2 linked regions of the Kluyveromyces lactis genome follow. The main gene of each other region encodes a partner of the protein of the gene in region 2 in a complex. Links are inferred from orthologs where the notes say so. Each region holds a gene or a part of one and is shown on either strand. Other genes may lie near its edges. The genes, in order: CEG1 and CET1.

Region 1 (3,468 bases), on a different chromosome or scaffold from region 2:
GTTTTCGATGCATTCATTAAAGAATTAACTAACCAAACTGATCATCCGGTCTATTTCACTGTTGATAACTTCTCCCATCTTTTGACTACACCATTCACAGCATATAAAGACACAAGCAACAAAAATATTCATATTTTAAAATTCCAGGTTGGTCAATCTATTTTTGATTTAGTCTCTGGCGATTTGCAATTCGCTGCTAAGGACAGCTGTGTTGTTTTGGCTACTTCGGGTTTGGATAGAACCAATAGAACGTTATCAATTGGTTTGCAAAAGCTTCCTCACGATCCATATTTGACCAGATACCACTATGAACAAATTTTGGCCGAAAAGTTACTAAAGGGTAAAGTACAGGAGTTCGAAGTTACCAAACTTAATAAAGATGAAGTTGCCAAATTGATGGAGTTCTACCAAAAGGCGGGTATCGTACTTGACAAAGATTTACAGAACAAAACCTTCGAACAGCTTACCGAAGAAAAGTACTTCTTAAGTGGTAATGGTAATCCAAGGGAATTGCTCAAGAGTATTACACTATATCCATTCTAATTGTACATATTATATATTACAAAAAAACCCATGTAAATACAGGAAAGAAATATAATATGAGCACATATGCTCGTGTATATGTTATGCTTTTAACTTGACGCAAGATTCTTAAATCTTCTGTCTTTTTGTGTCTGGCTCGTCATCAGACCAATTATCATCGTCATCGTCTACATATTTTGGTTGATCTTGCGACTGCTCTGGTTCGGTTGAATGTTGCTGCGACAGCGACGATCTCGCAGAAGCCTGATGGTTGAATTGTTTTTGTGCATTTTTCAGTCCTTGTTCACGTTCTTTCCAGCGAGATCTCATTTCATCTACCACTTGTTCTAGATCATCCAATGAAACAGAATCACCGATACTTTCCAAGACTTTTTGAACGACTGATACGTGATTACCATTGAGTTTATCGTCTCTGAACCTAAGTAGTTTCCATGCACCTGATTCCTGATCTTTGGAACATTCTACAATTCTTCCGTTCAATGGCTCCTCCATGGCCTTGAGCTCATTCCATTGTTTGTCGTCGATTTCTATTTCTGCAAATTTTCTATAGGTTCTCTCCAAAAGCTCCAAATCACTCTTAGTAAAGGGTTGTTCGAAGTCCTGTATTCTATTGTTCACGTCATTACCACCTTGCCAAACGTACAAATGGAAAAGTGGCTTAACATCGTAATTGTAGTAAAACCTGTTTTTATCGCTTTTAGGTAAAGATTTGTCTTCTACTACAGGAGGTTCAATGATCAGTTTGAAATCCACAGTATTTTCTACTTCTGGTTTCCATTTCAAAAGGTAGCTATCTTTACCACCAATATGATATGCCGCTTGTACTGGAGTGAAAATTAGACCATCAGATACGTGTGGAAGTGAATCCAAGGTCTTTGCAACTTTTGCCAAATCATAACTGAAATTCATATGTTTCATTGAAATTTTGAATGGGAAAGTGGAACATCTATCTGGAAAATACGATCTTAAATCGTAATAAGGTTTGAAAAACTCTTTGCCAAGATGAGCCAAACGGGAACTTGTAGGCGATTGAACTAACGAACGACCATTTACCGCAAGGCAGTCGAACATCAAGTACCTCAGTTCCTTCAACTTGGTCACTGGATTAGTTTGCATGACAAGTTCACCATCAATTAACGTACCGTCCTGCAAAGTCTCTAGGAGTTCTTTTTTATTGGCACGGGGCAAACATGGAAATCTAAATCCATTGACCATATAGTAGTTGTTTTCACGGTCAATCATAAAACACCCTTGCTCTTTTGTAACTGGATTCACCATTATCAACATTAACGCACGCAATCCATCTGTCTTTTCACATACGTAATAGTCTTGCGCAAGTAACTTCTCCTCAATATCAGCCAGATGGAAAGAAACAGGTTGAGAGCCCGGAAAGGTATTAGCGGGTTTCGCTGAATTGAGTAGCTTACACATCAACATTCGAATATCATTAGTAATTTGTCCGGGTTGTCTTAGACCAGGAATCTCTGGTGCAACTCTGTTATTGTCCATGGCAATTAAGTTATAAACTTAGGCAAAAAAAAGGACAGTCAAAACACACGTATGCAATATCAATTGCCTTGGTTCATTAAGTTCAGGCTGCCTTAATCTATTGCTGTTTACCTTATTACGTATTTTCATCTGGTTCAGTAATTGTAAAATGCTTTCCAATTATTTTCAATATCGAAAGATGTATATAAAAACGCTATATGCAGGATATGAATATGGATTCAATATGAGGAGGAGCAACAACATACCAAGAGAGAAATAGTGCAAAAGGGAATACAGGATACATCCGGAGTTGCTAGCAAAAGTGTTGCATTTGAAGAATTGATATTCACTTGTGATATTTAACAGCAATTTGCATCAGCTTACTTCCGGCTAGTGATGACTGTCGTCTCAGGACAAAATTCGCCAGATGAGATAATAATTTCAAATGGCAATGAGTACACAAGTCGTAGGCGAACTGCGACCAAGAATGTGAGTTATAATGAGAAGGAAGCCGACATTGCGTTGGCGAAGAAGATTAAACAATTAGAGAAGGCGAACTCTTCGAAACAGAAGTCTGAAAAGGGTGAAACTATAAAGAAGAATGGCATTCAGAAGAAGGCGAACAATGGAAAGAAGTCACAGAAGAGTAGTTTCAAGTATCAGTCGTTCTTGCAAGACAAGAACACGCCGTGGAATTTCATTCCTTCTCTACCTAACTCATTCAAGAAATACGCAAGGTTCAGTACCATGTTGGATATCGATGAGATGACCGTTGACGTTTCTAAGCAATTGCTACTATCTGACGGATCGGCTGTCTTGAAAAAAGATGAGCACATATTTATGGTATCAGAACCACCTGGAGAACCCTACTATATTGGTAGGATAGTTGAGTTTGTGCCGAAAAAGGAGTTTCGTTCACTCATATCGCGTTCATTACACTTGGCAACTAGTTTCCCTGCGATTTATTTTCAGTTAAAAATGAATTGGTACTATAGACCCAGAGATATCCAGGAAAGAACAAATAGTACAAGCTCCAGAATGCTATACGCTTCACTTCATAATGATGTTTGCCCAATTTACTCATTCCGTGGTAAATGTAATGTCAAATTTCAAAAAGAATTTACCTCAATTGATCAGCTAACAGAATACGTCTCAAGACCCAATTGTTTCTACTTCAACCAACTTTTCGATAGATATACACTAAAGTATTACCAAATGGAAAAAACAGATCAGATGGCTGTGCGAGTTGCTTCTGATCTACCGTATTTCAAGATTTTAACTAGTAAATTCCCATTCATTTTCTATGAGGATAAATTCCCACTGGATAACCTACTTACCAAATATGTCTGTGGCAAAAGAACCGAAGACCAAAGCTGGGATTTGCGTTGCGGCGAATGTCGCGATTGGTGCCACCAATCGTCTTCTATCAAGTGTGAT
Region 2 (3,960 bases):
TCCTACGTCTAGAGCCCAATTGATCTCGACGATTGATTCGGAAGCTCATCAGACTTCGTTAAGAAAAGTGTCAACTCCAAAGAAACTCTCTTTAGAGCACATCCTATCATGAAACATAAGGAAAAGAAAACACACCCTCACGAACTAAAGACGGAAATAAAGAGTACCTCTCATTCATTCATTCCATACTTCAATTCTCAATGACTAACCACTTTTATCATTCATTAATATATTACGTTTTCCATTTCCTTTTGCACTTTTTCAATTCCAACTAGCTCTTACGTTTCCACCTTTGCTACATAATTTATTGTATATTTACCCCACTGTTTTTACCCGCACCATGGGCACCCTCAATTATAGTCTGTTCTTTCAGAATCTGACACATCTCTCATCTGATCTTAATTCGACTTGCTTACATTGAAAACTGAATCTCAATTGACTTCTTACGAGGTACGATCGTTCATCGACGTGGGAAGCAACGCTTTTGGAAGCATGATACGTCTCAAACGATTGTGTTAGTAACCAATCCCTCCTCATTTGGGTATGTGGGATATACAAAGAATGGTTCTTATGACTATATTATTTTTGGAAGCACGTGATCATCATTTTCTTTTTCGTTCCTTATCCTTTAAAGTATGGGCAGGATTTCCTTGGAAACGAGAAATCCAACTGTTATCACAACTACAATCCAAAGGGAGGGGTAAAAGGACCAAATGGACAAAACAAAGTAAAGATATCCAGAATAACACTTTAAACAATGTCTAATACGACACCATGGCAGTATACAAGTACGGGGTCTCCGCAGACTCCAAGTGCAGTGAGTGCGAATTTATTTGGAAATAGTATGAGTCTAAGTTCAACAAGCAGTACAAGCAGTTCAAGCGTTGGGAATAATAACAAGAGTAGTATGTCATCTGGCCAGAATATTGGCATGCTGGGACCGGCTCCTGGTATGCTGAATATGAATATGAACATACCTATGGGTGTTGATTCTACGTCCAGGCTGGGATCTGGAGCAGGAACTGGAGTCGGATCTTTGATGTACAGTTTACCTCAGGAATCGCTTCTCAGTAAGAATATGAGCAAATCGTTCGAGGACGATTTATTCTTTTGTCCAAGGTCATTATTATCTAAGGAAGAGCTTTCGCAGTGCTCGCAGATAGATTTGTTGTACAACCAACACCAGCAACAAATACATCAGAACCATCATCAACAACTGCCCCTACCAGTTCCTTTACAGCAACAACAGAACCACCAGCAACAGCAACAGAGACCACGTTTCAATCCATATACTTCCCAAAGCTTCAACCCTGGTGCAGTTTGAATTCTCGGGCTCCTTTGCAGCAGCAGTTCCTCGGCTGCTGCCTGTGAGATACCCCCCACATACCGGGGATGTTGGTTTAGTCGGATGATTATATGAAATGCAAGTCATGTGACTTGAATTTCTTCTTGTTACCCGGTCCCATGGACAATCCCTGGCATGAAGTAGCACTTTTCCACAATTTATCAACGTACATCATTATAGATACCAATGCATGTATGTATTTATGTACGTGTGTTCACATGTATATGAACGTCAGTTATATACTTTATATTACCCCCCATTTAATCAAGTTAGTTTATTTCGGTTTATTCAGTGTTCAAGCTAAGTAGGTGCAAAATCAGGCTGCCAATTCAATTCACAGTTTAAAGCCAACTCCACTAATAATGAAGCCTAGCAGAGGATTGTCACTCACCGATTTGGTCAACCATGATGACGCTCCGCCCTTGAATAATGGAGATAACAATGTAAAACAAGAAGAAGTGCAAGCTGAGAATCTCGCTACAAATCCAGCTTCTGTTTTGGCTCCAGGCCCAGTCATTGTTGATACTTTACCACCAGTAGAAGCTCCTGTTAGTACTTCCGATACTGGTAATACTAGTCATACTGGAGCAGCACCTCAGACAGCAGTAACAGCTGAGAGTGATGAGACTGATACGGACGATGAACCGGGGGAAATTGTGTTTGAAAATACTAAATTTAGGTTCGATGACGAAGAACAACAACCACAGAAAGATAAACTGGTAAAGGGCACTTCTTCGGAGAAGAAGGACAAGCAAGTAAACGCCGCAACTAAGGAGATTCAGCTGGACTCAAAACCCGTCAAAGAGCAATCTCCAAAAACAAAAGATGAAGGAGATATTCCCGTAGAGGATGCGGATAAAGCTGATAATAAAGTGGAAACGCAAAAAAAGGAAAACGGGATCAAACAAGAAGTCGAACCAGTGGAACAAGATGGTAAGAAATCAGTGGAACCTGCCAAGCAATCCAAAGAGGATTCGAAAAAGGAGAAGGACATCTTTCAGCAAAAGACAAGTAATGCTTCTGTGAAGAACAACATCAAGAAGGACTTGAAGATCCTAAGTGAACTCTCTTCCTCTTCGCTACCTAAAAGATACAATGTTCCGCCTATCTGGGCAAGAAAATGGAAACCTACTGTCAAGGCTTTACAAGCCATTGATTCTTCAAATCTTAAACTTGACGACTCTATTTTAGGATTTATTCCAGAAGATGACTTGACAAAATCCGTCCAAGATTGGATTTATGCTACGTTGATTGCAGTAGAACCGGAACTAAGGCAATTCATTGAAGTGGAAATGAAATACGGTCTTATCATTGATCCATCGACCTCTAATCGTGTTAACCCTCCGGTGTCCTCTCAATGCGTTTTCACAGATCTTGACTCCACAATGAAGCCGGATGTTGATGAAAGAGTTTTTGATGAGTTCAACAGATACATAAAGAACTTATCTGAATTAAATGAAAATATGGGAAAGTTTAATATAATAGATTCTCATGCCTCAGACTTGAGCTATAGAGTAAGAACTCATACGGAAAGGCCGAAGTTTTTGAGAATGACAAGAGATGTTAACACCGGAAGAATTGCACAATTTATTGAAAAACGGAAAATTTCACAGATTTTATTGTACTCCCCAAAGGATAGTTATGATACCAAGATTTCAATCAGTTTGGAACTGCCTGTACCCGAAAATGATCCACCTGAAAAGTACAAGAACCATACTCCAACAGGTCATCGTTTAAAGAAACGTACCAGTTACATCCATAATGACTCTTGTACCAGATTTGATATCACTAGGGTGGAAAATAAACCTATTAGAGTCAATAACAAAAATGAAAAAGAACCTGAATCTGATACAACGTACGAAGTTGAACTGGAAATCAATACACCTGCCCTCTTAAATGCTTTTGATAACATTCAACATGATAGTAAAGAATATGCAGCTATCGTGAGAACCTTTTTGAATAACGGTACCATTGTAAGAAGGAAGCTTTCATCTTTATCCTATGACATTTACAAAGGTTCGAATAAGCTTTGAATCCCATAATCACCTACTATGTTACTTTCAGATATTCTATAGTTCTATCTATCTCATACCAGTATAAAAGCTTGGGTTGTACTCAATGTTTCATGAAAGTAATCTGATAGAATATATCCTTACTTGCGCTTTATCTTCGCGCAAATTCTATGAAGCTTATTTATCGCTATATATGCCTAGTATATATGCTAACCTTATGATGACTAAATCCTTGGCCATGTTAATACTGTCACGAGCCAAATCCATTTTGGAACCGTCAACTTCATGCCATGAGATCGGTAGCTCATTGATTGGAATATTTTTACGCAACGCAACGATCAAGATTTCAACGTCGAAAATCCATCCTTCAGTGTGTAACTTAGGGAAAATTTCCTTAGCAGCCTTCCTATTAAATAATTTAAAACCACATTGTGTGTCCTTGATAGATCTAATACCGAAGATGAACACCAATGCATGTAAAGAGTACATTAAGAAGTTTCTGATAATTGTTCGCTTGACAACTGCATCGGTGTTAACCATATGAGCACGTGATCCAATCGATACCTCGGGTGCATCAACCTTTGTGTTTGCCAAAAGCTTGGC

Evidence for each region.
Region 1: the proteins of CET1 (region 2) and CEG1 are in contact, whole or in part, in a crystal structure (PDB 3KYH), measured with the Saccharomyces cerevisiae proteins. The link is inferred for Kluyveromyces lactis from reciprocal best matches to the Saccharomyces cerevisiae genes CET1 and CEG1. Residues at the interface, in NP_015096.1 of Saccharomyces cerevisiae: Ile246, Trp247, Ala248, Gln249, Lys250, Trp251, Lys252, Pro253, Thr254, Lys256, Ala257, Ser260, Ile261; in NP_011385.3 of Saccharomyces cerevisiae: Leu262, Trp295, Val301, Arg304, His307, Phe308, Gln310, Pro311, Phe312, Asp313, Glu316, Trp337, Leu340, Lys341, Glu344, Gln345, Pro346, Leu347, Asn348, Gly349, Arg350, Asp370, Asp371, Lys372, Leu373, Asn374.

The regions. Positions count from the first base shown.
Region 1 is NC_006038.1:194,925-198,392, reverse strand, and holds CEG1 (mRNA guanylyltransferase), read right to left. Parts: upstream 2,053-3,468; coding exon 652-2,052; downstream 1-651. Other genes in the region: RSM23 (mitochondrial 37S ribosomal protein mS29), read left to right, coding at 1-543; DNA-binding E3 ubiquitin-protein ligase SNT2, read left to right, coding at 2,428-3,468. UniProt on the Saccharomyces cerevisiae protein: Second step of mRNA capping. Transfer of the GMP moiety of GTP to the 5'-diphosphate terminus of RNA via a covalent enzyme-GMP reaction intermediate.
Region 2 is NC_006039.1:1,398,158-1,402,117, forward strand, and holds CET1 (polynucleotide 5'-phosphatase), read left to right. Parts: upstream 1-1,707; coding exon 1,708-3,378; downstream 3,379-3,960. Other genes in the region: USV1 (Usv1p), read left to right, coding at 1-112; KLLA0_C16027g (uncharacterized protein), read left to right, coding at 758-1,324; ALG5 (dolichyl-phosphate beta-glucosyltransferase), read right to left, coding at 3,535-3,960. UniProt on the Saccharomyces cerevisiae protein: First step of mRNA capping. Converts the 5'-triphosphate end of a nascent mRNA chain into a diphosphate end.